7 linked regions of the Xenopus tropicalis genome follow. The protein of the gene in region 6 purifies or fractionates together with the protein of the main gene of each other region. This does not show direct contact. Links are inferred from orthologs where the notes say so. Each region holds a gene or a part of one and is shown on either strand. Other genes may lie near its edges. The genes, in order: asb6, spsb4, asb2, rab40b, socs7, cul5 and cops3.

What was found.
Region 1: the proteins of cul5 (region 6) and asb6 purify together in Homo sapiens (affinity purification with mass spectrometry; 6 studies listed by BioGRID and IntAct, counting the BioPlex papers as one, with this or other methods). This does not show direct contact. The link is inferred for Xenopus tropicalis from reciprocal best matches to the Homo sapiens genes CUL5 and ASB6.
Region 2: the proteins of cul5 (region 6) and spsb4 purify together in Homo sapiens (co-immunoprecipitation; 4 studies listed by BioGRID and IntAct, counting the BioPlex papers as one, with this or other methods). This does not show direct contact. The link is inferred for Xenopus tropicalis from reciprocal best matches to the Homo sapiens genes CUL5 and SPSB4.
Region 3: the proteins of cul5 (region 6) and asb2 purify together in Homo sapiens (affinity purification with western blotting; 5 studies listed by BioGRID and IntAct, counting the BioPlex papers as one, with this or other methods). This does not show direct contact. The link is inferred for Xenopus tropicalis from reciprocal best matches to the Homo sapiens genes CUL5 and ASB2.
Region 4: the proteins of cul5 (region 6) and rab40b purify together in Homo sapiens (affinity purification with mass spectrometry; 5 studies listed by BioGRID and IntAct, counting the BioPlex papers as one, with this or other methods). This does not show direct contact. The link is inferred for Xenopus tropicalis from reciprocal best matches to the Homo sapiens genes CUL5 and RAB40B.
Region 5: the proteins of cul5 (region 6) and socs7 purify together in Homo sapiens (affinity purification with mass spectrometry; 4 studies listed by BioGRID and IntAct, counting the BioPlex papers as one, with this or other methods). This does not show direct contact. The link is inferred for Xenopus tropicalis from reciprocal best matches to the Homo sapiens genes CUL5 and SOCS7.
Region 7: the proteins of cul5 (region 6) and cops3 purify together in Homo sapiens (affinity purification with mass spectrometry; 3 studies listed by BioGRID and IntAct, with this or other methods). This does not show direct contact. The link is inferred for Xenopus tropicalis from reciprocal best matches to the Homo sapiens genes CUL5 and COPS3.

The regions. Positions count from the first base shown.
Region 1 is NC_030684.2:22,271,566-22,275,661, reverse strand, and holds the start of asb6 (ankyrin repeat and SOCS box protein 6), read left to right. Parts: upstream 1-1,296; 5' UTR 1,297-1,377; intron 1,378-1,693; 5' UTR 1,694-1,744; coding exon 1,745-1,866; intron 1,867-1,947; coding exon 1,948-2,123; intron 2,124-2,654; coding exon 2,655-2,761; intron 2,762-3,388; coding exon 3,389-3,497; intron 3,498-3,630; coding exon 3,631-3,717; intron 3,718-4,096. UniProt on the Homo sapiens protein: Probable substrate-recognition component of a SCF-like ECS (Elongin-Cullin-SOCS-box protein) E3 ubiquitin-protein ligase complex which mediates the ubiquitination and subsequent proteasomal degradation of target proteins.
Region 2 is NC_030681.2:123,623,032-123,626,997, reverse strand, and holds the start of spsb4 (SPRY domain-containing SOCS box protein 4), read right to left. Parts: upstream 2,801-3,966; 5' UTR 2,291-2,800; intron 1-2,290. UniProt on the Homo sapiens protein: Substrate recognition component of a SCF-like ECS (Elongin BC-CUL2/5-SOCS-box protein) E3 ubiquitin-protein ligase complex which mediates the ubiquitination and subsequent proteasomal degradation of target proteins.
Region 3 is NC_030684.2:88,133,093-88,137,307, reverse strand, and holds the start of asb2 (ankyrin repeat and SOCS box protein 2), read left to right. Parts: upstream 1-1,415; 5' UTR 1,416-1,645; intron 1,646-4,215. UniProt on the Homo sapiens protein: Substrate-recognition component of a SCF-like ECS (Elongin-Cullin-SOCS-box protein) E3 ubiquitin-protein ligase complex which mediates the ubiquitination and subsequent proteasomal degradation of target proteins.
Region 4 is NC_030686.2:48,032,037-48,036,264, reverse strand, and holds the start of rab40b (ras-related protein Rab-40B), read left to right. Parts: upstream 1-1,428; 5' UTR 1,429-1,444; intron 1,445-2,882; 5' UTR 2,883-2,998; coding exon 2,999-3,140; intron 3,141-4,228. UniProt on the Homo sapiens protein: RAB40B small GTPase acts as substrate-recognition components of the ECS(RAB40B) E3 ubiquitin ligase complex which mediates the ubiquitination of target proteins.
Region 5 is NC_030686.2:10,984,498-10,986,843, forward strand, and holds part of socs7 (suppressor of cytokine signaling 7), read left to right. Parts: intron 1-1,124; coding exon 1,125-1,245; 3' UTR 1,246-1,284; intron 1,285-2,346. UniProt on the Homo sapiens protein: Substrate-recognition component of a cullin-5-RING E3 ubiquitin-protein ligase complex (ECS complex, also named CRL5 complex), which mediates the ubiquitination and subsequent proteasomal degradation of target proteins, such as DAB1 and IRS1.
Region 6 is NC_030678.2:159,962,315-159,965,814, forward strand, and holds part of cul5 (cullin-5), read right to left. Parts: intron 833-3,500; coding exon 723-832; intron 1-722. UniProt on the Homo sapiens protein: Core component of multiple cullin-5-RING E3 ubiquitin-protein ligase complexes (ECS complexes, also named CRL5 complexes), which mediate the ubiquitination and subsequent proteasomal degradation of target proteins.
Region 7 is NC_030685.2:15,774,622-15,778,121, forward strand, and holds part of cops3 (COP9 signalosome complex subunit 3), read left to right. Parts: intron 1-414; coding exon 415-594; intron 595-1,455; coding exon 1,456-1,596; intron 1,597-2,078; coding exon 2,079-2,252; intron 2,253-2,362; coding exon 2,363-2,449; intron 2,450-3,105; coding exon 3,106-3,219; intron 3,220-3,500. UniProt on the Homo sapiens protein: Component of the COP9 signalosome complex (CSN), a complex involved in various cellular and developmental processes.

The sequences.
Region 1 (4,096 bases), on a different chromosome or scaffold from region 6:
GGTTTTGAGCTGTATTAAAAGGGGTATAGATTCACGGGAGGAGGGTGTTATTTTTCCCCTTTACAGAGCGCTGGTAAGGCCCCATCTAGAATATGATGTTCAGTTTTGGTCTCCAGTGCTTAAACAGGACATTATTGAATTAGAGAGGGTCCAGAGAAGGGCAACTAAGCTGGTAAAGGGTATGGAAAGTCTCAGTTATGAAGAAAGACTGGCCAAGATGCGCTTAAGAGGTGACGTGATAACTATGTATAAATATATAAGGGGATCATATAATAACCTCTCTAATACTTTATTTACCAGTAGGGAACCCACTCCGTTTAGAAGTAGGTAGGTTCCGTTTAAATATTCGGAAAGGATTCTTATAGCTTTAAGAAGGGGTTGGATGGCTACTTAACAAGTGAGGGAATACAGGGTTATGGGAGATCCAGGGACTGGTCCGATTGCCATCTTGGAGTCAGTAAGGAATTTTTTTCCCCTGCGGCAAATTAGAGAGGCTTCAGATGGTGTTTTTTGCCTTCCTCTGGATCAACTAGAAGTTAGGCAGGTTATATATAGGCATGAACGTGATGGAAGTACGTCTTTTTTCAACCTAACTTACTATGTATGGCAGAATAGGGATTCCCCTGTACTAAGCAAAATTCAGCGGGAACAGCCTCCTAAGGCATGAGAGGCTGCTAGGCTGCTTAACGTGCTGCCCTACCTGATTACGGTTGCCAAAAGGCAATGATTTTGCCAGGCTTGGTGCCACAGTGATTATTAGGTAAATGATATAGGGCTAGAATCAAGTGTATGACCCTAATAGCACAGTGGTGACACCCACTGGCACTAAATCAGGCCTATGAGGACCTCCCTCCACCAAACATGTATTTGCCTTTTCCCTTCTCTGGTTCTGACTGTTGAAACAATGTAGCAAAAGTTAAGTGTTAGTCAGTTGGCTTCTGCTACACTGTTTAAGGAGTCAGAATCAGCAATGTCGAGAGGAGAAACAGCCAGGCCTATACTGCTTCTAACAGGATTACATAAAAAATAATTTTCCAACCCCCTGTAATTAATATATCTATATATGTATCAGTATGAGCTACCCGCCCCGCTAGCCAGGCTACTTACTAACTAACCCCTGGCAGGATGGACTCTTCCGATTCCCCCCAACCCCGGCAGTCTCACATTTCAGTCCTAATATGAAACAATTTACAGCATTTGCCGGCACGGCTCACGGCTCATTAGCTAATTGGCGAGCGCCCTCTGCTGTCCTACATAACGCATCGCCATCTCCTTCATTCTGGTGCGCCTGCGCCTACAGCACGTCCAACAACCACGCCCACTCGCTGAGGAGCTCTGTGTTCCGTATTCAGCAGAGCAGCTTCCGGCGGGGCGTAGGTAAGTGGGAGATGTTTGTGTATGTTGCATGGGGCGCATAGATGTCATAGTTGTGACTTAAAATAGTCCCAAAATGTTTGAATGTGATCGCCATCAAGTCAAAACGCAGAAATCCTTATTTTGTTGTGAGCCCAGTGCAGGGCCAGGGACCGTGTGAGGGCTTTAGGCTATGTGCTACTTAGTTATAATGCAGTGTTATGGTTATGCTATTTGACCTTACATTAGCCTTCTCTGGGTTTCTAATAATGTGGAGGTGGGAAGAGGAAACAGCCCTATGACTGACTCACACCTGCCTGTGTTTTTTTCTGTACTGAAGGACCAGGCAGCAGTTCTGCTGGTGGTGGAAGATTGAGACTCTCTTGCCACTATGCCATTCCTCCATGGCTTTCGGAGGATTATATTCGAGTACCAGCCTTTGGTGGATGAGATCCTGGGGGCTCTGGGTATTCAGGACCCTGAACAGCCGGTGGCGGCAGACACCAGAAGCAGGTATTGGAGCCTTATCATTAGTAAGCGCTTAGAGTACCATGCTATTGGTGGCCTGGAATCACGTGTATTTTCTGCTTTTAGTTTCCTGGTTGGAGAGAGTGAGGAGTTCCTGGCGCTGAATGAGTTACTGGAGAGGCATTCTCAGTCTTCCTTTTACAAGGAGGGAGTCAGTTACTCGCTGCTGAAGGTGGCCGAGCTGGGGATGGTTCCGTCGGCCAAAATCCTCCTGCAGTTTGGGGCAGATCTCAGCTTTGAGGGTAGGTATGGTGAGCTCCTAATAAACTATGTTTCTAGTTAGTTTAAAGGTGGCCAAGGTTTGGTTGGATGATTCCAATGATTTTGAGCATGTTGACCGACCAAGTGGGACAGTCAGACCTTAGAACCTGACATTAGGGCAATTAGATATTGTGGAGGAAATAAGAAGGGGCTGATAGAAACTGTCACAGCTTGGGGGCCCATAGGGAGACTCTGGAACTGTGGAAGCCAGTCCGACCCTGGATCCGCAGCTCCTCTTCACTTTCTGCAGTTCTGATTGGTTGGGTTGGTGGCTTGAACAAAAGGAATGTTAGATTGTGGCCATGTGTATGTATGGCCACCAGTATGTTATGAATCTGTTTATCAGGCTGTGGCTTGTGTGCTGCTAATGGGTTGGCCAAGTCACTTTCAGCCAATCTAGAGTGGCTTTGCAGCACCTTTTGCATTTAGCTCACCAGCTTTGGCCCATGGTGCAGAGGATATAGTAGCTGTAGCGCTTAAGTAACTCTCACTTGCAATGTTTCCCTCACCAGATCCGGTGACCTACTACACGGCGCTACACATTGCGGTACTGAGAAACCAGCCAGAAATGGTGGAGCTGTTGGTGCAGAGCGGAGCTGATATTAACAAGAGGGACAGGGTAAGGATCAAGTTTCAGCTGTATTCTGGTGTCCTGCAGTGGTTTGGTACCTGCGGGTAGGTTTTTCAGATGTAGTTATAGATGCGGGTCAGGTTGTGGGCGACCTATAGTCCTTATATTATCTATATTTTACCCCTTTAAACTTTTTCTTAAACTTCTACCCCCACCCACTTTTGATGATGTCACTTCCAGTTTAAAGGTGGTCAGCAAGTCACAGATCTGGTTAGGTAGCAGGTCCAAGCAGGTTAAAATGTGGGTTTGGGTTGCAGGTTGTGGGCTGAGGGACCGAATATCAAAAATGAGTTCTTGCACAGGCCTCTATCCTGGTGGCCTGTACCCTACTGGAAATACTCAGCATGTTTCTATACCTTATGCCAGGCCCTTAAGGGAATCCTATCCCCTCAGGCAAAGCTGATCTCTCCAGTTCTGGGTTCTGCATTCCACCAATGCACAGTGACCTGGGAGAGGCACAAAACTCTGATAGGCTGGCTTATCATTGTAAACAATTTCTTCTGCTGCTCACTACCAACTTACTTGGCAAAAACCCATTGTGTGAGACAAGGTGATCTAGAAGTGCAGTGTCACATAATTTACCTTTTCTTGTATTTTATCCTCCTGTATATACAGATCCATGAAAGCAGTCCATTGGACTTGGCTAGTGAAGAACCAGAGCGACTGCCGTGCCTGCAACGCCTGCTGGAGCTCAGCGCTGATGTAAATGCAGCTGACAAAAATGGTAAGTGGATTTAGGGGTTTAAGCTGGGTTTTACCCCTCCCTTAGCAGGAATGACAGGGACCTTGTATTCGGGAATGAATACCGCCTTAATAAACGGGAAGTCACATTGTATGTTAAACGGATTATTATGCAGGGAAGACGGCGTTATTACACGCACTGGCCAGCAGTGATGGCGTTCAGATCCATAACATAGAAAACATCCGTCTGCTGCTCGAAGGAGGTGAGTGTGTTCCTTCCTTGTGTCAGTCTGTCTGTGCTCTGAGATCATGGAATATTCCACTGTGGCCCAAATGATCACTACAGATTCCTTGTTCCAACCGTGCCTGGAGGCAGTGGTACAGACGCTGGTAAGAGAGTAGGCAGCATATTGACCCCTTATTAATCGCATCATATGAGTACTGGATTAGAACTTTTCTCTGGCGTTTGCCTGACTGGTCCGCATAGGCCCATAGTATAGTATTTGAACCGTTTTTGGTCCAAGCCTTTAAGGGGGAGCTCACCTTCCAAACACTTAGTTTAGCTCCTTGGAAAACACCAAAGGTGACCTACCCCGTTAAGAATAGTTCAGTGCAACACATATATAATGTGTATTGGGTCAG
Region 2 (3,966 bases), on a different chromosome or scaffold from region 6:
AGAAGACAGTCAATATACCCATAAATGTGTTATGTTTATATGTCATGTTGATGAATGTGTGTGTGTGTAGATCAAGCAACTCCATATTAATATTTATATACACCATCTGTATGCATATCTTTAATATACACAAACGCCTGCACAATTCATTGGCTATCGGACCTCATAGAGCAGTCAGCCTAATCCCCTTCCACTGCTTTGTTTCCTTAATTCAAACCATCTGAGCATTTGCCAGTTCTGGGCACTATCAGTGCAGGAACCTGGCTGTAACACTAAAATACACATGTGACCGTAATGGTCAGCGATTAGGACGTTTATGGCTATGCAAGTGGAGGCCCACATGCTGGCTGTAGCCCTTCACGAGATTTACATGCCCCCAGGCTGTTTAAGACACCCACAGACCTCTGGACATTATTAGATTACTACTAAAGTAACTGGCCCACATTACAGAAACAAATGGGTACCACCAAGGTTGTTCTGCCTACAGTACCAGTGGTTGTAACCTTCCCAATATGCCCCCATGATCCAATTATTTCAATTACAATGTGTATATGACCATGATAAAGGCTATTTAAGTCATGTAATACTGTTTTCAGATCCTGCACTTCCAAACACTAATGCTCACTGTTATATGTTCTTACCCTTAAAATCCCTACAGTTCTGCAGTGACTTTGGTACTCAGAGCTGCATAAGAATTCGCCACACACAAGCAAATAACACACACTCAATATTGCCTTTACGCAAACTTTGTATTTATACAGCCTACAATGCTCTGCAATACCTAATGGCATCACTCCCCCCAAGAACATAAACATACATGAATAATGAATGCTGGTGGGACCATAGATGTTGTATTGCCTTCAAGGGCCAAATAGCTGGCTCAGCAATGTGCTGGGCGCCCCATGCTACAGGCTTAGCTGCTTATTTGCTCCAGGCAAATTTATGACTCTCTGGAAATCTGAAGGATAAAGAGAAAGAGCCACATCTAGCCAGTGCTGCCCCATTCAATCTGCATTATTTACTGGGATCCTGCTTTCCTTGGAATTTGTAGTATATACAACTATCCTGCCATTCCACAGAAACTGCAACAGTTACAGTAAACAAACCACATCTAGCAACTTTGCAGAGAGTTCTCACATTCGCCAAGGATTACGCTTTAGCGCGTCATGAGCAGTAATATCTGGGAAGAACCACTGCAGGGATCATAAATATTCTCCCAAAGAAAGGTTATCTTTACTATTCCCCCTATGCAGAAAAGCAGGCAAGCCAATTAAGATAGATAGATTGATAGACAGATAGATAGAAAAAGATAGCTTGGTAAATGGGAAAGATACACAGGACACACAAAAAGAAAGCACAGCAAGAGACAGAGATGGTGAATGAGTTGGGTGAAACTGCTGACAATCTCGCCCTGAGATGATTAGCTAAAGACAAAGGCTAACTGTAATGCTTGCAATCACATAAACAAAGGAAGACAGGCCTTTGCCCAGAATAATTGGGTGTTCAGATTAGAACTAGCATGCTGAGCAATGATTTGGGAAGGGAGGTGTCTACAGGTGCCCAGAATCCCCCAAGTCAGAATTAACCTCTGGGCTTCCTTATGTTGGGAACATCCCATGCTATACCATATACAGCCAGTAGATGGCTCTCTGTAGTTCCATTTCCTACACTTAGTAGGCCAATTCTTTGTAAGCTGTTACAATAAAAATATGTGTGTGTCTAGAATATCCTTGTTGGCCTTCTGTTTTTGTACATTTCCAAAAGCTGATTATGTGAGTTATAGTTCACAAATAGCTTGATGGATTTACAGACATATGCAGTTGGTTAGCTGTTATTATGTATCCAGCATGAAAGCAATAATTGGACTGCATCTCTACAGCTCCTATAGTCTGTGTTCTTCAGATCCAGGCAGCTGAATACAAACTGTGTATTTATGAAGCTTGCTAGTGTTTGATAAAAAGAATAAGTGTAGTTCCCCCTCTACAAATCCATATAAGAGTGAAAGCCTGGAGCACTAGTCTTCCAACAGACTACCCCCACTCCCCCCAATAAAGATAAATCATAAAGACTGTCAGGAAAGACAAAAAGGTGGAGCTGTTTTCAAATTTAGACAGTATAATATCCCTGTGAAATATTTCTGCAATACAGTATATAGCTACACTCACTATATATTATTAAAAAAGAAAAGTAGATATGGCGCAAAGACCCTGGCAGCAAGATGCCCCCAAATGGCTGAACGGCTGCCTAGCTTCCCTGAGCAATCACTTTATGAAGTCAGACTGTATCGCACCTGAGAAGTGAGCGATCCGGCCACAGACGCATCCCATTGTTTCCCAGGGGATCGCTTCGGTACGTACCTTACAGGGTGGGATCCATACAGCCGGGAGGATAGAAAGCCACAGAGTCGGGTCTAATCCAAGGCAAAGAGAACAAGAGATGGAAGAGTAAGAGAAGCGCTAATCCCACAGCTCCCACATGTAGTGAGGGGCAAGTAAGAAGCGGGGGGCTTTCATTAGCACCAGTGGGACCCCACGAGAAGTTACTCCAGGCTGCTCTCCCCAGCGCCGCTACAGGCACCGACTGCTTGTGGGATCACAGAAAGGAGCGGAACAGCCATCCGGCAAACAATCCGCGGCCCCTCATCCCTTCCCCGGCCGCTTTGTGTTCAGAGATTGTGCCCCCCAGCTCCTCCGTACGGGAGAGACAGCCCAGATGGGAAGAGCCTGCCGCTACTGCCGCTGAGCCCCATCCTGCAAGCTGATCCCTGCTGATCTCATCAGTCACAACTAACTAATCCAATGGCCGGGGAACGGGGAACACGTAGCCACGCCCCTCTCTGCCTCCCCTCCCAGCGCACACAATGGAAGGAGCCCACCAGCTGCCGAAACTGGGAGAGATCTGCGCTCTGCTGGTGGCACTGGGGCCGGGGGGTCTGGGGCTGCTCTGCCGATCTCTCCATTGTCATGCAGCGAGGCACTGGGGCCTAAATCCCTTTGTTACTAATTGGGCTTTTGGAAGTCAAATTCCTGCCCAGCTGCGCTGATGTCAATGGGAAACTGTAACTTGTTTATGGGCTGAATAGGCCGGTCCCTTTGTACTCACATGATTGCGTGAGGGGCTGCTGTCACCTTGATAATAGTAATACTGAAATAATCTGCTTTAGTTCCTGTGCTGCTGATAATAAGGACTATAAAATATGCCATTATACTGTGCAAAACCCAAAGACCAGTAGCCTCATAAATGGTGCTTAGTGATGTCATTGCTTACAGTAGGTGCTTAGTGATGTCATTGCTTACAGTAGGTGCTTAGTGATGTCATTGCTTACAGTAGGTGCTTAGTGATGTCATTGCTTACAGTAGGTGCTTAGTGATGTCATTGCTTACAGTAGGTGCTTAGTGATGTCATTGCTTACAGTAGGTGCTTAGTGATGTCATTGCTTACAGTAGGTGCTTAGTGATGTCATTGCTTACAGTAGGTGCTTAGTGATGTCATTGCTTACAGTAGGTGCTTAGTGATGTCATTGCTTACAGTAGGTGCTTAGTGATGTCATTGCTTACAGTAGGTGCTTAGTGATGTCATTGCTTACAGTAGGTGCTTAGTGATGTCATTGCTTACAGTACGTGCTTAGTGATGTCATTGCTTACAGTAGGTGCTTAGTGATGTCATTGCTTACAGTAGGTGCTTAGTGATGTCATTGCTTACAGTAGGTGCTTAGTGATGTCATTGCTTACAGTAGGTGCTTAGTGATGTTATCGCTTATAGTAGGTGCTAAGTGATGTCATTGCTTACAGTAGGTGCTTAGTGATGTCATCGCTTACAGTAGGTGCTTGGTGATGTTATCGCTTACAGTAGGTGCTAAGTGATGTCATTGCTTACAGTAGGTGCTTGGTGATGTCATTGCTTACAGTAGGTGCTTGGTGATGTCATTGCTTACAGTAGGTGCTTAGTGATGTCATTGCTTACAGT
Region 3 (4,215 bases), on a different chromosome or scaffold from region 6:
ACCATTCTTTTGCACTTTTTTATTTTTGTCACTTTTACAACATACGTAGTTTTTTCTATGTTAAAACTCCATTCTTCATCTGCCTTGTTTCACAAATGCTTGACCATTTCACTATATAAATAATTTTTTATGTGCATTGTTACTGACAAACATGAAAATGTATAGGTGATTGAAATTTACATTAGTATGGCTGGCCTAAAGGAGCACTCTGTGGGTAATATAAAGGTTCACTTGTTATGTGTGTGGACACCTTAAAGGTGCACTGCAAAGGAGGGTCCTATAGGGTGTGGGCAACCTGAAAATCTGAAGGTACACAGTAGCCACATGATCAAACTTTGCATCACCTATCTATGTCAGCTGATTTATATGTGTGCTGCTAAATAGGTACCCAATTGAGTGTGCTTTATTAAGAGATGGCTCTCAGGTGTATTCTAAATATACACCAAAAAGCAATACATACTGCAGATCTAAACTTGTGTTATTAATAAAGTATACACTGGAAATGCAGGCAGGCACTCAGGATCACCAAAACATGTTTCAAAGCAGCTCAATTTAGAGTCAAAACATTTTCAGTTTATTATGTCCGTACACAATGCCAAAAAGCCTTACACATTTTGTACCAAGAGGGGTACTTAGTCATAGCCATAATGTATGGGGCATATTGTAAAAGGCAAAGAAAACTACCAAACCATTCCAGTGAAGTTTTGAAAGAAAAGGACATATTCTTGCATCTGGAGGCATTATCTTTCCACTCATACCAAAAGGAGGATGTTCCAGTGGAAGAGCTCTCAGAGAGGTAGGTCTGCATGTGCAAAAAGAAACTGCTTTCTCCATGCTGAAGAACAGGACATGTATTTAGCATTGGAAATTGTAATTCATTACAGTCATATGCAAATGCCTACATATACCTGTGGTTCTTCCACACTGTACACAATTAACAGCCTCTTGTAAATATGCCTTTAATTTACAATCAGCCATTTTCTGTACTTTTTTTTCACAGAATATAGAAAACAAATGTTTGACTGAGCCAAAAAAAAGTTACAATTAAAAGAAAATTACGTTTACGTCTAAACAATAAAATCTTTCCAACTGTTATTGCATTCCTTCTGGAAGAAGGAATTAAAACATATATTTATATGGCATGAGTCTGGGATTGTGCCAAATAATTTTAAGTGTTCAGTTGGAAATCAAGGACTTGTTACAAGTGATGACTTGGCTCAGATACCTCTAAGGAAGAATACCAAAATCATTTCTTTTTTTCTTAAGAATGTATCCTTATAAGGCCTATTGTCAGGATGTATAAACAATGAGACAAGGGAGGAGTGAGCCCTCTGTGCAACTTCTCCACGGGATCCAGTAATATCTGCTGCAGGCCAATGCAACAGGGAATATTATTCTGGATGGCAGAGCTGGCTCTTCTAATCTCTGCATAAGAAATCTGAGCTACATGACAGAGTTTTGGCTTGTCGTGTCTGATCATGCGGTGCTCCAGAAATAAACTGTAGCCTACAAAGTCTGTGTTACAGGGCAGTTTCGCAGAGGCAGAGGCAACCTGCTGCAGGGGAGGACAAGGGTGCAACTTATGGGCTGTCTGTGAGCCCTAGGCACTTTAACAAGCTCATTTCATTCTCCTGGAAATATAAAGGTAACGCTAGCATGCATTCTACCAGCATCCTCAAACAATGCATTCTTTTATAATGCTGCACTGAATACTATTCAATGAAGTATTTGGTGTTTTACAGAGAAAACAAATATGAGAAGGCAAATAATTAAAGCAAGTTAGAGCAAACTTTGTACTTTGCTCTGAGAGCTTCCATTTTCTTTTTTATGTATTCAAGGATTAAGAATGCTTCTCTTCTTAAATTATAATTTATTTGCAAATCACTATAGTCATTTTATTTAAAATGCTATTCATGCTTTTAATTTAGCTTGGCTACCTATACCACTGGCAATCCCAGACCGAGACTGAGCACAGAGTCTTAACTTAATGTCTGGGCAGTAACTTGCAAGGAATGTAGCAGTCTCCAGCAATCAGCCAAGTTATTTTATTCTTGCAAATATTTAAAAAAAAATGAAATCCTTTTAAAAAGTATACACATACAGCCATGCATTTTCGCTGCTTTTTCACTTCTTTGCCATTCCAATTAAGGGTCACAGAAAGGAACCATATTTAGAAATACCTTGCTAAGATTAAAAATAATTACCATAACAAAAAAAAAATAACCAACAGAAAGAGATTTTTTTCCTATTTTTAGCTTTTTAGTTGATAAACTGCAACTTTGAACATGAAAGGATGTCAGGCACAGCTTTTCCAACATTGATCTACTGTGCAGTAAGTAGCTTATCAATAGCAATATGACATGTAGTGTGGTGCAGTACAAGGTGCACTGACATTGGATAAAGATGCATGGTCAGGCCAAGCAAGTCAGTGTCATTGATCTAGACAGACAGGCTGGTCTTTGCCACGGAACTACATTTGACCTGGTAATGATGAATATACAGTGTTCTCCTGGCCAAATTTATTTCACAGGCAGTTTTATATAGACTGACAGATGGTGCTGCTCTGGATTTGTTTACTTGCTAGGTTTGATCTTTGGAAGATGCCAATATTGGTGCTTCAAATTTAGTTTCCCGTATTAAGTGATATTGCATAAGTGAAACATGTTATTATGTCTGACTGTTGCTTAACCACAGTTCAGTCAGCTGTTAAAACCTATAAGTAAACATCAAGCAATTTATCAGATCATGTATCATTATACGTAAGAGGGAACTTACATAAAGGGAACTTCTGAGGCTGACTAATTACACTATAACAACATTTATCATGTATCTTTTTTTATAACAACCAAGGAGCAAAATCTCTGCAACAGGATCCTGCTTTGAATTACAGTGATGAATGAAGTTAAATGGAAGTTGGCAGTTGCTCATGTTTAAAAGAGTGTTGTATTTTGCAAGGTTCACACTGTAAAACGATATGCACTGTGCTGAACTGCTGAGCTTGCTTACTGGGATCAGTGCTGGGAAAATTACACAAGCCTCCAGCCAAGGCAATATGATATAACTTTAGTAATACATTTACATTTCTCTGTCCTATTTAACAGAATGCCTCCTAAGATTATAAGTACATGTTATCAAGTTTTCAAACATCAGATGTAAGTGGCTTAGAGACTCAAGATAGCTATGATGTTATGTATGTCACCCCTTGTGATGTAATGAAGTCCTGTTATTGGACAACATTACTGTCTATATGTGGCCAGCTAAAGGTTGCACAAAATGGTTGATTTGGCTGCAGGTTGATTTTAAAGGTGTTTACGAATACACTGTTTATAGATGGGATTTAATTACAGCTTTCAAGATAACAATAAACTGCTGATCACATTCGTATTAATAATTTAACATACATAAGACTGTACACAGAGTAATCAATATCATTTAACTTACTGATAATTCATTATAAATCAAGTGAAAGTAAATCTTTTTGTATAAGGCATTTTAAGGAATTCTTTTGTATGTATCCACTCTACAATCAGTGCTTAGCTTGAGGTTATATTATACTTTCCAGCTCTAAATGAGTTGTGCTCAAGCCAAGTTTGTACCTATTAAAATATAAATAAGAGAAATGACTATGATCTAGACAAGGTCAAACTTCAATTGCAAATTTCTTATTAAGAAACCTAAGTGATGAACACCCCGAATGCTAAGTAACCTTGTAAATATAATACTAAAGGAGTCATTTACAACAGTGTGAAAAGTGCAATTTTGGACACAATTCATCAAGTTTTGTGCCACAATTCCAGCATTGTGCCTGATTTTTGTTGCCACAATTACACACAATTCCAGCACAGTGTGCTTGAATACTGATGCAAATCAGGTGCAAGATGCATATAGCATTTCCAGGGTAAAGGTGTACATTTAAAATGGCATTTGCATTCAACTTACTGGACCCAAGTCTGGTGCATCTATTGATGCAAGCCACCGTTGAAACCTTGGTGTAACCACCAAGCCAAGGGGGGAAACAGTTTCAGAGTCACCCTGCATCACTTAATATTCATTAGAAAAGTCAGAGTTGAAACAATGTGCACCCATATGACAGAGCAGGAGCTAGTTTCTAACTAAATTTGTGGTGTTGCATGCAAAACATTTATTGGTCACAAGAAGTTTAGTGGTAAACAGCATGCAATAGATGGCTTCTTTCTTTTTTAAAACAGATTAATT
Region 4 (4,228 bases), on a different chromosome or scaffold from region 6:
TTCCCAGAGGCTATTATCCCACTGCTACTATAGGCACCATCTCTCCCTACTATACCTGCTATCCCACAGCCCCAGTCCCTTCCCAGAGGCTATTATCCCACTGCTACTATAGGCACCATCTCTCCCTACTATACCTGCTATCCCACAGCCCCAGTCCCTTCCCAGAGGCTATTATCCCACTGCTACTATATATATTGAGAAGGCCAATAGCCTAGAGCCCAAGGGACTGAATCCAACAGGTTGGGAGAATGGTGAGGGGGGGTCTGAACGATATGCAAAGGCATTCAGTGACACTGGCGGAGCCTGAAGGCTTCCTGTCAGTTATACATAATATTCTCTATACAATGCCTTTTGTGGGAAAATAAGGTTTCAAAACAGCCCCAGCCGATTAGATCATCTCATTGTTGATGAAAGTGTCCGACTCATGCACGGCCCCCCCCCCGACAGTTACTCAGCAGTGTTCACCAGTGAGGGTGTCACCTGTGCAGGTTTCTACATTCCCACAACTGGGTTGGAGGCAGGTTGGTGACAGGGTTGGAGGCAGGTTGGTGACAGAGTTGGAGGCAGGTTGGTGGCTGGGTTGGAGGCAGGTCGATGACAGGGTTGGAGGCAGGTTGGTGACAGGGTTGGAGGCAGGTTGGTGACAGAGTTGGAGGCAGGTTGGTGGCTGGGTTGGAGGCAGGTCGGTGACAGGGTTGGAGGCAGGTTGGTGACAGGGTTGGAGGCAGGTTGGTGACAGGGTTGGAGGCAGGTTGGTGACTGGGTTGGAGGCAGGTTGGTGACAGGGTTGGAGGCAGGTTGGTTCTGTGTCATTTAAACCCAGTGGGAAATCAGCGACACTGCGGCGTTAGTGCAAAGAGAAAATAGGTTTGTTAGTAGGAAATGGGCCGGTTCCTAAACGGAGCGAGGAGAGGGGGAACGTGCCGGGGCAGGTCCCAGTAACTCAGTGGGAACCGGTTTAATAGAGAGACAGAGGGAGAGATTATATTGCACTGTGGGAACTGCCTGCTGATCTGGATAAGCGCCCCAGCCGGGGGTAAGTGGGTTTGTGTATCAGACAAAGCTTTATGTATAGAATTGGTTTCTGTGGGGGGATTGTGTGTAACTGCCCCGGGGTCTGGGCTCCTCCCATTGTATCAATATAACGTATATATCATACAGCTAAACTGGCACTTAGCAACGGGAACACTCACACGGAACATTGTATCAGAAATGGGAAATTATTATGTACTAGTGAGTGTGTGTATGTGTGTGTGTGTGAATATCTCCTAACGCCTCCGTCCCATGATGGATGGTTGCTGCAGCCAATCTGGTGTGGCCAATCCCTTAGCAACTGAGCTAGAGACCAATGAGAGTGGGGGAGAGGCGGGAGAGGAGCTGCATAGGGAGCGCAGCCCAGCAGTTCCCAGAGCAGGATGTAGCGAGGCAGGAGCTGGAGGGACAGGTAGGTGCTACTGTATGGCACTGCCCCGGGCTTTGCCCTGTCTAACCTGTGGGGCAGTCTCAGCTGTGTATGGGGTAAATGTATTGTGGGGGTGGGGTGGGGTAATAAGGTGTGTGTGTGTGTGTGCTCACTTACATCTGTGTATATAAACATACACACCTCCCCCTCAGCAGCTTCATATGTATATATACACACAGGCATACCTATATCTACATACACTTACATACACACTATGCACATACATACATACACATATACATACGTACCATACTTCTATCGTACATGTACCATGTATACATATATATTTACATACACTTAGAACAGTGGAGCCCTGTTCTATAAGGAACAGTACTAAATAACGCCCCCCCCCCACCCCCCACTGACAGCTGCTCAGTACAGACTGAATGTACATACACTTATATACAGGTGGGTACCAAATAGGCAGGCTGCCCAGGGCAGTATATTGGGAAGAGCAGGGAAGGGCAGGGGACAGTTGGCACAGTGGGGCAAGATGGCATCAGTAGGGCAAGTTGGTGGCAGTCAGGTGGGAAGACAGGAGGGCAAGATGTAACCATAGAGCTAAATGCCACTCTCGCCCCCCTTCTGTACATGTAATACAGCTGCCCACACTGCCCTAAATGCCTAATGAGCTGTCAGGCTAAGCCATGATAATAGGTATGATTTCACTTACTAGCGAGCAAGACCTGAGCAGAGTTTTGTCCTGTATGGATGGGGCTTACCTGCATTTGACTATTGTGCAGGGTTCTTAATACTTGGATGTTATCTTTAAGTAATATTGGTTTGGGGGTATCAGGTAGGGTCTGTGCCACTGTGACAGAATGCTCTGTTATACAGATAGCTAGAATCTCAGCCATAAAGCAGGGCAGGACTGCTGCTTACAATGGGTGGGATCCGGTAGGGTCTGTGCCACTGTGACAGAATGCTCTGTTATACAGATAGCTAGAATCTCAGCCATAAAGCAGGGCAGGGCTGCTGCTTACAATGGGGGGATCAGATAGGATCTGTGCCACTGTGACAGAATGCTCTGTTATACAGATAGCTAGAATCTCAGCCATAAAGCAGGGCAGGACTGCTGCTTACAATGGGGGGGGGGGGGGATCAGATAGGATCTGTGCCACTGTGACAGAATGCTCTGTTATACAGATAGCTAGAATCTCAGCCATAAAGCAGGGCAGGACTGCTGCTTACAATGGGTGGGATCCGGTAGGGTCTGTGCCACTGTGACAGAATGCTCTGTTATACAGATAGCTAGAATCTCAGCCATAAAGCAGGGCAGGGCTGCTGCTTACAATGGGGGGATCAGATAGGATCTGTGCCACTGTGACAGAATGCTCTGTTATACAGATAGCTAGAATCTCAGCCATAAAGCAGGGCAGGACTGCTGCTTACAGTAATTTCCTTTTGGTTCTCCCTCAAGCTGAACACATTGGCATGAGTTTCCCAGCCGGAGTGCTCCTGTGAAATTACTTACGTGCTTCTGCCATGATGGGCTGATGGAGAAGGCCTGTAACCGTGTGTGCCTCGGGGAAGAGGATGACCCACAGAGCCAGCCCAGTGAAAGCCTATGACTTCCTGCTGAAGTTCCTTTTGGTTGGGGACAGTGATGTTGGCAAAGGGGAGATACTGGCAAGCCTGCAGGATGGATGCACAGAGTCACCTTACGGTTACAATATGGGTAAGTGCTGTGATGGTAGATAGTATAATTGCTTGTATCCTGGGGGAACGGGGGATATTTTGGTGCTTAGCTCACACACAGTTGGCATTTAATGCCCATTCAGTGCCAGTCTATAGGGTGATGGGCATCAGCAGGTGCAACAGTGGCATTCCCATCCCATAATCCCTGTAACTCATCACTCTTATCCGCGTCCTGAGTTATGTGCCGGGACATATCCCATGTGCTGTGGCTACTGGTGGCCTAGTAGGCTGGGCTCCCATCACCCTGTGCCCAACACCCCCTCTTCAGCCCCACTAACCGGGCACTACACCCTGGCACACGCTGGGAACGCCAGCAGAGACTATGCCCTCAGCCTTATTATTTACCTTCCTCTTCTGACTCTTTCCTGCTTTTAAATGAGGGTCACTGACCCCGGCAGCCAAAGAACTATTGCTCTGCGAATTGTATTGTTACTTTTTATTACTTATCTTTCTATTTAGGCCCTCCTCTATCCATATTCCTTTCTCTCTTTCAAACAACTGCCTGGTTGCTAGGCTAAACTGGACACTAGCAACCAGTTTGCTGCTGAAATTCCAAACTGGAGAGCTGCTGAAGAAATAGTTAAATTAAACTCCAATTAATGGAAACCAATTGCAAATGGTCTCAGAATCGCTACATGATACTGAAAGTTAATTTAAAGGTGAACAACCCCTTTAAGGTAACAGAACCAGATGCTTGGAATTCCTCCCTAAGCCGTATTTAAGAATAGATTTTTGGGCCTCGGCACAGAGTCTGAGGGATATTTAAAGACACTCAGGGGCTTTTATCTGGCTTGTAGATGTCAGTGCCCCCTGTTAGGGAGACAGCTGGCCATTAGCACGGCAGGGGATCAAGTGACTATATATATATATATATATATATCTTGCAGTCAGGTGCGACACCCCCCACAATGCAATTGCCCCCAGTCACTGCACTTTTACATTCACAGGGAGAAATCTGCTCATTCTCCCTAATGCTGTGTATTTACCGATCCTCTGTATTTAGATATAAGATTCCTATAACACATGTGCCTTGTGGGTCTGCCAAGGACAGGGGGTAAATGAAGTATT
Region 5 (2,346 bases), on a different chromosome or scaffold from region 6:
ACATCCCAGTGCAGTGCATTGTGGGTTATGTAGTTCCTGCATGCTGTCTGTAAGCTGTGGAGAAGTTGTTACAATTTGTAACATCAGTGTTTCAGTCCCTCCTCCCCTGCCAGGATTTCAAATGATGCAGAAAGAGAAGAGCTGTTTTGCAGCTGGATTTCAGCATATAAAAATGGTATTTATTTATACTTTCTGAAGATTACAGTGATATTAGGGGTTTCTGTGCTGTATGATGTAACACAGTTTGGTTTGGAAGCCGGAGTTCCCCTTTAATCAGCAGCCTAGGTATGGCATGGGGGTCTTGTTGACGTGTGCGGGTTTGGAGCAAAGGATAGGGTGCTGGCACTAAGGGAAGGTTCCGCCCTATCATACAGTACATGGCACTTAGTACCTCCCAGTCACTGCCACTGTTGCAGTCTGTGTGCAAATACAGTTTTTCCCTACTGTGTAATTACCATTTCCAAATTAGCAGTTAACACTAAACAGAGCCCCTGCTAAGTGGTGTTTTTGCAGAGCTGGGAGGTCTGTGGGTTCCAGCACGGTTGGAGGGGGGGGCTTGATCCAATCTCACAGCCTTGCAAGCCATTTGGTGCCTGTCAGAGGCAGGAACTGTTTTAGCATAAGCGCATGAAGTGGGTCAGTGTTCTGGGGTCGCTGACTTGTTAGCTGGGGGGGGGGGGGGGGGGGGCTGCCTTCTCTTTGATCACTTGCCCGTGTACTTACATCTCATTGAACTTATATGTTGTGCCTGTTATTCTAGCTGCTTCTGTTATCATTATTCCTCATATAGTGTCATTTATTTATGTAGCTCCAGCACAGACGCTCAGGCTGTGTATATGGTGGGGTTCTTAGCCTTTCTGGATGGGACCCAGATTAGAGAGGCATCAGTGTTGGGGGGGCATGTCAGTCCAAATGCAGCTTTAGTTAAGAGACAGTCATGATTTCACCTAGAGGTCATCCTATCCCTTTAAAAACTCAGAGTCCAAAATGAGGATTTGAATCTGTATTTCATCCCGATCTATGGCTTTTTCACCATTTTTCTGCACAGAAGTACTTTCCTTGTCATCTCAGTAGCGATCTAGTAAATACATGTCGAAACCAAAATCCTGTCCCTTTCTTTTCAGACCCCTCATCTCATACCTGCGCAAGTTCTATTATTACGACCCCCAGGAGGAGGTATACCTTTGTCTAAAGGAGGCGCGGCATCTGAACAAATTGGAGTCTGGGAGCGAGAGCTCCACGTAGCGAGGATTCCGCGCTTTCCCTCTTCATAGGCCGAACCAGGTAAGCAAATAGAGTCTTTGGATTATTCATTGTTTTATTAAAACTTTTATAGTGAATCCCACAGCCGGGACTGGTGTCAGTGGCACCCAGTAGTGATGTATGGGCCTTCCCGATTCCCATGGGATCCGCGGGTAGGTGGGATCACGCCAAGTTTCTGACACCATTGCTGGGCCGCAAGCGGGTTTGGGTTGAGCTCTTCCTTTAGCTCTCTTCCCACCTGTGCCCACTTCTGCCTCCGGTGTGAGCCTTTTATAGACTTGCCCCTCCTTGGCCCTGCCCCCTTCCGTGGGGGGGCGGGGTCTATAAATTTGAAGGCATGCTGGGTTAGGGTTGGTTGTGGGTAGTGGAGCAGTGGGTTAGGGTTGGTTGTGGGTAGTGGAGCAGTGGGTTAGGGTTGGTTGTGGGTAGTGGAGCAGTGGGTTAGGGTTGGTTGTGGGTAGTGGAGCAGTGGGTTAGGGTTGGTTGTGGGTAGTGGAGCAGCGGGTTAGGGTTGGTTGTGGGCAGTGGGTTAGGGTTGGTTGTGGGTAGTGGAGCAGCGGGTTAGGGTTGGTTGTGGGTAGTGGAGCAGCGGGTTAGGGTTGGTTGTGGGTAGTGGAGCAGTGGGTTAGGGTTGGTTGTGGGTAGTGGAGCAGCGGGTTAGGGTTGGTTGTGGGTAGTGGAGCAGCGGGTTAGGGTTGGTTGTGGGTAGTGGAGCAGCGGGTTAGGGTTGGTTGTGGGTAGTGGAGCAGCGGGTTAGGGTTGGTTGTGGGTAGTGGAGCAGCGGGTTAGGGTTGGTTGTGGGTAGTGGAGCAGCGGGTTAGGGTTGGTTGTGGGTAGTGGAGCAGCGGGTTAGGGTTGGTTGTGGGTAGTGAAGCAGTGAATTAGGGTTGGTTGTGGGTAGTTGGTTAGGGTTGGTTGTGGGTAGTGGAGCAGTGGGTTAGGGTTGGTTGTGGGTAGTGGAGCAGCGGGTTAGGGTTGGTTGTGGGTAGTGGAGCAGCGGGTTAGGGTTGGTTGTGGGTAGTGGAGTAGCGGGTTAGGGTTGGTTGTGGGTAGTGGAGCAGTGGGTTAGGGTTGGTTGTGGGT
Region 6 (3,500 bases):
CATATAACGAGAATCTTAGTTGCAACTACAAAATGCCAGAAAATACCCTGCCATAGACAATACTAAGAACCACCTTTGCTACTACACATTTAGGGCAGTATAGCCTTGTGTGTACACTGCTCAGAACAGTGTTTGTATACATAGGATTGATCCTGCTTTGTCTTGTGGGATCCTGCGTGCATGTGAAGCAAATTAATGCAGGAACCTTTTTCCTGTAACTCAAGCATTAAAATTGCCAATGACCTAAATACTTTTTTAGAAGTCTATTTTTTATTAATAATAATAATAATAGCCAATTTGACTTGTAAGCTAAAAACAAACATCTGGTTGGTTGTTACAGGTTACTAGACCATGGCCAAATATGTGTTCACCCTGTAAATGCCATTCCCATGCTATGGGGTCCTGGTGAGGCCATTTCTTGCCTTATTTACAAACTCCATTATCTGAGGTCAGTATGGTTTAAAAGAGGAATGGTTATTAATATAATAAATCCATTAAGTGCAGTGGATGCTTAATAATGTTTAAAGCATATTTGTCATCAGTCAGCAACATACTGTGCCACTGTACATGAGTGGGAAGCAGGATTCCATGGAGGAGTAATATAAAGGGTAAATTTACCTTCAAATGCCCTTTAATACACACCTTGATTATCTTTTAGGCATTACAGGAAATTGTTTCTCCTCCATCACTTTAACTAGCACAGTTTTTCTCTTAATACTTACGAGAACAAATCGAACCATTGCTGTTTTGTGACGGATTCCTGGCGTAAAAGTTTCAGAACTATAGGTCTCATAAAGTCCCATTTGTCCTCAAATTGAAGGGAACCTTTATTCTGTAAGAGAAAGCAAATGCCATTTAGCTATAGTTCCTTGGTCCTACATCTGTAAAATAAAACTTTCATTTAACTTCAAGCCAATGTTATTCTTTCATATCGACACCTTTAGCTGATTGAACAAGGCCTGCTTAATTACTTGTATGTGATCATACATGTGCACATACACATCTCTGTACAGAAACAGCAATAAAATATCAAGTACAATTATAAAAGTCAGCAAGAGCAAATTTATAATGACATGTTCCTATAGACATTGCAGGTATGGGATCCATTATCTGAAACCCTGTATCCAGAAAGGCTTCCTTCCATAGACTCCATTTTTTGCAAATAATTTTGATTTTTAAAAATTATTTCCTTTTTCTCTGTGATAAAACAGTACCTGTACTTGATCCCAACTAGGATATAATTACCCCTTATTGGGGGCAGAACAGCTCTATTGGGTTTATTTAATGGTTAAATGATTCCCTTTTCTCTGTAATAATAAAACAGTACCTGTACTTGATCCCAACTAAGATATAATTACCCCTTATTGGGGCAGAACAGCCCTATTGGGTTTATTTAATGGTTAAATGATTCCCTTTTCTCTGTAATAATAAAACAGTACCTGTACTTGATCCCAACTAAGATATAATTACCCCTTATTGGGGGCAGAACAGCCCTATTGGGTTTATTTAATGGTTAAATGATTCCCTTTTCTCTGTAATAATAAAACAGTACCTGTACTTGATCCCAACTAAGATATAATTACCCCTTATTGGGGCAGACCAGTCCTATTGGGTTTATTTAATGGTTAAATGATTCCCTTTTCTCTGTAATAATAAAACAGTACCTGTACTTGATCCCAACTAAGATATAATTACCCCTTATTGGGGCAGACCAGTCCTATTGGGTTTATTTAATGGTTAAATGATTCCCTTTTCTCTGTAATAATAAAACAGTACCTGTACTTGATCCCAACTAAGATATAATTACCCCTTATTGGGGGCAGAACAGCCCTATTGGGATTATTTAATAGTTAAATGATTCCCTTTTCTCTGTAATAATAAAACAGTACATGTCATTTCGCCAGTTTCCATGAATGGCTAAAATGTAAGGTACAGAAATTGTTTAAGTCCAATTACTTTTAAAAATTGTTTTGGAAATGTTTTCTCCCTGCCATAAATGTTTATGTGATAATCGAATGAATCAAGCCAATATACATCTGTGCGCAGCTACAGTGATAGAAATTTTTGGGCAGGGTTATATTTTAGGTTTTGCACAGACTGCAACAGGCATTTCCCAGAAATAGCTACACAGGGCTGCTATGCAGCAGGCTATAAATAGGCCAGCGCCGTGACCAGTCCAGCTATGGGCCCGTTCCCTTTCAGTTACACAGAGCTAGAAGCCTTAACGAAGGGCTGTCATAATTAGCTCTCCCATATGTCTAGCTGAGGGTGCTAAATGGGAACAATATCTACTGTGCACCAACCTATTAAATAGCAGTAAGGATACCAAATGTTTAACACTTACTGTACATTTATAAATAATGGGGATCCATTTACGCCCACAAGTGCAGTGAGCAAGTGCCATGTTTTTTTCTCAGTGTTTTTTTTACCAGAATGCCAAGACCATTGCAGTCGCAAGGGGCATTGCATATGATGCTACTGTGCAGAATTGTACCTAGCATTATTTTCAGTGCTCAGCATGACGTCCCCATACCTTTGCAAAATGGGGTTCAATATGCAACTCACTGCGGGGAGAAGTGCAGGAACACAACTGCAAGGGCACAGCAAGCACAGTGTTTTGAGGGCCTTAAGGGCAATGGCACACAGAGATCAGTTGCCTGAGGTTAAACTTCGGCTACTGTGGGCGACTAATCTCAGGAATGGCTACAAGTTGCCTGGGATCCCTGCCATACATGAAGGAAGGGAAACCAAATGCCCAACCAATACGACATTAAACTCTTCCATACTGGCATCCAATTACAGGTATGGGACCTGTTATCCAGAAAGCTCGGGACCTGGGGTTTTCTGGATAAGGGATTTTTCTGTAATTTGGATCTCCATAACTTAAGTCTACTAAAAATCATTCAAATATTGAATAAACCCAATAGGACTGTTCTGCCCCCAAAAAGGGGTAATTATATCTTAGTTGGGATCAAGTACAGGTACTGTTTTATTATTACAGAGAAAAGGGAATCATTTAACCATTAAATAAACCCAATAGGACTCTTCTGCCCCCAATAAGGGGTAATTATATCTTAGTTGGGATCAAGTACAGGTACTGTTTTATTATTACAGAGAAAAGGGAATCATTTAACCATTAAATAAACCCAATAGGGCTGTTCTGCCCCCAATAAGGGGTAATTATATCTTAGTTGGGATCAAGTACAGGTACTGTTTTATTATTACAGAGAAAGAGGAATCATTTAACCATTAAATAAACCCAATAGGACTCTTCTGCCCCCAATAAGGGGTAATTATATCTTAGTTGGGATCAAGTACAGGTACTGTTTTATTATTACAGAGAAAAGGGAATCATTTAACCATTAAATAAACCCAATAGGGCTGTTCTGCCCCCAATAAGGGGTAATTATATCTTAGTTGGGATCAAGTACAGGTACTGTTTTATTATTACAGAGAAAGGGAATCATTTAACCATTAAATAAACCCAATAGGGCTGTTCT
Region 7 (3,500 bases), on a different chromosome or scaffold from region 6:
CTGCTTTCAGCTAACCTATTGTTTCTTCTACTCCCATGTAACTGGAGGAGTCCCAAGCCGGACTTGGATTTCTTACTATTGAGTGCTATTCTGATACCTACTGGGAGCTGCTATCTTGCTCCCTTCCCATTGTTCTGCTGATCGGCTGCTGGGAGGGGCGGGGAGGATATCCACTGATTACCTAATAGCAGTTGGAATTAGTATTGGTTTATTCCTTATTTCCTTCTCTCTGGTTGTGACTCTTGAAACAATCTCTCCTCCAGGCCTGCTAATTAGCTGGCTTCTACTACATTGGTTCAGGAGTATTTTATTTTAGCTATTACCTATTTTTAGCAAAAACTTGTGCAATTTTAGCATCAGCAAATGTAAAACTGTAGCATTTCACTGTTCTGATTTCTACATTTTCCTTTGTAGCTCTCTCTCTTAGCGAAATGTTTTAAGCCTGCACTTGCGTACCTAGATGTAGATATGATGGATATTTGCAAAGAGAATGGCGCTTACGATGCCAAGCCCTTCCTGTGTTACTACTATTACGGCGGGATGATTTACACAGGCTTGAAGAACTTCGAGAGAGCACTGTATTTTTATGAGCAGGTACAGTTGTTTTTTAGTTTCTGAGGCCTAGCCGGCTCTCTAATGCAGATTGAATGGCGTCTTAAGGTGGCCATACACGCTAAGATCCTTGGTGAGGTCGCCAAGTGAGCGGATCTTCTCCCAATATCCTCACCTACGGGTGGGCGATATCGGGTTAATTCTGTCGTTTGGCCCTGGAGCCAAACGATCGAATTAGAGCGATGGGTATAGGCGTCTGTCGGTTTGGGAACCTCATCAACGAGCTGATGTGGTCCCTAATCCGACGGATTTTTAAACCTGCCAGATTGATATCTTGCCAATTTCAGGCCAGATGTCAGGCAGGCCTGTCGTTAGTGCCCCTACACGGGCCGATAAGCTACCATTTTGATTGCCATCTCAACATGGCATGTGTCCTACAAAGAGTAAACAACATGGCTTTTTCTTCTGCTGTGTGGCATGAAAGGGTTATGGTGGCTTGTGACAAATGGGCTGTTTTATAAACACTGGGCAAATTTGCACCTAGGCAGTAACCCATGGCAAGTAATCAGATGTTTGCTTCAGTTGTTCTGTCTGCAGCTGCTGAATAAATGTAATCACTGATTCGTTGCTATGGGTTACTGCCCAGGTGCAAATTTGCTCAGTGTTTATAAATGACCCCCACTGAATATATAATTGTAGCATCAGTTATGCATGCCAATGGCTGCTCTACGCAGTGTAGCAAGATTAATATGCCACCATAGCACGGTTTATATGGCAGTAACTTGTGCTTAATCAATATTAAGCATTTTTTTCCTGTATAGTCTTGCATTATTAGTAGGTCAAATGGAATGAAATGAAATGTTGTTAACCCCTGTAATGATTTTGCTTGGTTTGTTTCTGCAGGCTATAACTACTCCAGCCATGGCTGTTAGTCACATAATGCTGGAAGCCTATAAAAAGTATATTCTAGTTTCCTTGATACTCCATGGAAAGGTTCAGCAGCTACCTAAATATACCTCGCAAATTGTCGGTAGATTTATCAAGGTAAGCTGGAACTAGTAGATTTGCTTAGATGTATTTTGTTGTGTGAAAATACAGCAAGTTAATTTCTCATGATTGTAAGTACTTGTAAGCAGGGACTTTTGTAACCCTTTTAAATAGTTTTTAATCCATAGAGGTGGGGAGAACAATTACTTTAACTTTTCTTTACCCCTTCACTTTCCCCCTCCTTCCTCACCATCTAAATCTGTAGCCATTGCATGGGCATCAGGCCCCCCCAATCTGGCACATACACAAGGTTTTGGGGTGATACAAAACTTGCCTTAATAACAGTGCCCACAAAATGGTGCCTGCCTGCTTTCTGTGATTGTGTAATTCCAAGACTGAAGGAAACAAGATTTATATAATTTATATAGTGGAAGTGAAGTTGCTTTTGCTTGACAAATACAACAGGTCCCCTTTAATCCTTAATGTTATGTAATTTTACAGACCTGTAGAAATGAATGTTTATTCATCTTCCGTTGCAGCCTCTTAGCAATGCTTACCATGAGTTAGCACAAGTCTATTCAACCAATAACCCAGCAGAGCTGCGGAATCTTGTAAGCAAACACAACGAAACCTTTACCAGGGACAACAACATGGGGCTGGTCAAGCAATGCCTGTCATCCCTCTACAAGAAGAACATTCAGAGACTTACCAAAGTAAGTGCCTTTCACTCCTCAGCGCACAGGGATAAGAACCCTCACTTGTATTGTTTTTATGCTGTGTAGTTTGTTCATAAAATGTTTAACGGCTACCCCTCTCATTGCAGACATTTTTAACGCTGTCGTTACAAGACATGGCTAGTCGAGTTCAGTTGTCCGGTGCTCAGGAGGCAGAAAAATATGTGCTGTACATGGTAAGAAGGGAAATGGTTGCTTCTCCCAACTTCCTTTATTATTGCTGTTAAATATAGTGTGGGCCAAAAGGAAATTGGCATCACTTGGAAGTGTAATGGACAGACTGTGCTGAGCCTCTGTCTAGTTTTCCTTTTTCAATTGATGTTAGACTTTTATTGCATTTATATAGTGAATAAAGTACCCCCTATTGTAAAATACAGGGATATTATAAGTCACCAAGGAGTTCCATGACCTTTATACAGGTGATAGAACTCCAAGGTGACTTCTAATATCCTAATATTTTACAACAGGGGGGTACTTTATTTATTATAATATACAAGTTTTAGTTAGTCATGTGACAGAAATCACTAAGCTCTGGTTATAACTGATTACATCACTAAGCACCATTTGTTAGGATATAATTTACAGTTTGGTCTTAATAGGGAAATGAACAAACTGTATACGATAATGATATTACAGTTATCCAAGTGTGAGGCCTGACAGTCAAGGGGCTATGGTATGTTATCATTGGGGATAGATCCATAAAAGCCTCCATAGGTTTTTCTATCACCTGTAAAGAGAGCTGCCATATTGTACCATAGGTCACTGTCACTGGGTTTGCTGCTGCTCAGATTTAGGCTGTTGTGCAGTCATCTCCTCCTTCTTTCTCCCCCAGATAGAAGATGGTGAAATATTTGCAAGTATTAATCAAAAAGACGGCATGGTGTGTTTTCACGATAACCCAGAGAAATACAACAATCCTGCGATGCTTCACAATATTGATCAAGAGGTGAGACGCATCTTTGTTTCATATAAATTGGGTCATAGTGACAAACTTATTTATTAATGTTTACCCAGTTTTAAAAATAGTCACTACTTGATAGAACTTTACGGTTCCTTTACATTTAACAATTAAAAGATTTTATTTTGCATATTTCATATTACAAACAATTAAACAAGAGAAAAACAAAGTAAAGAAGAAAGGAAGAAAGAGAAAGAAACGGGGGAGGGGAGGGTGAGGCTAAGGTAGCAGTTCTGGTTGTACCGGGTTACTAGTTATCCATATTCACC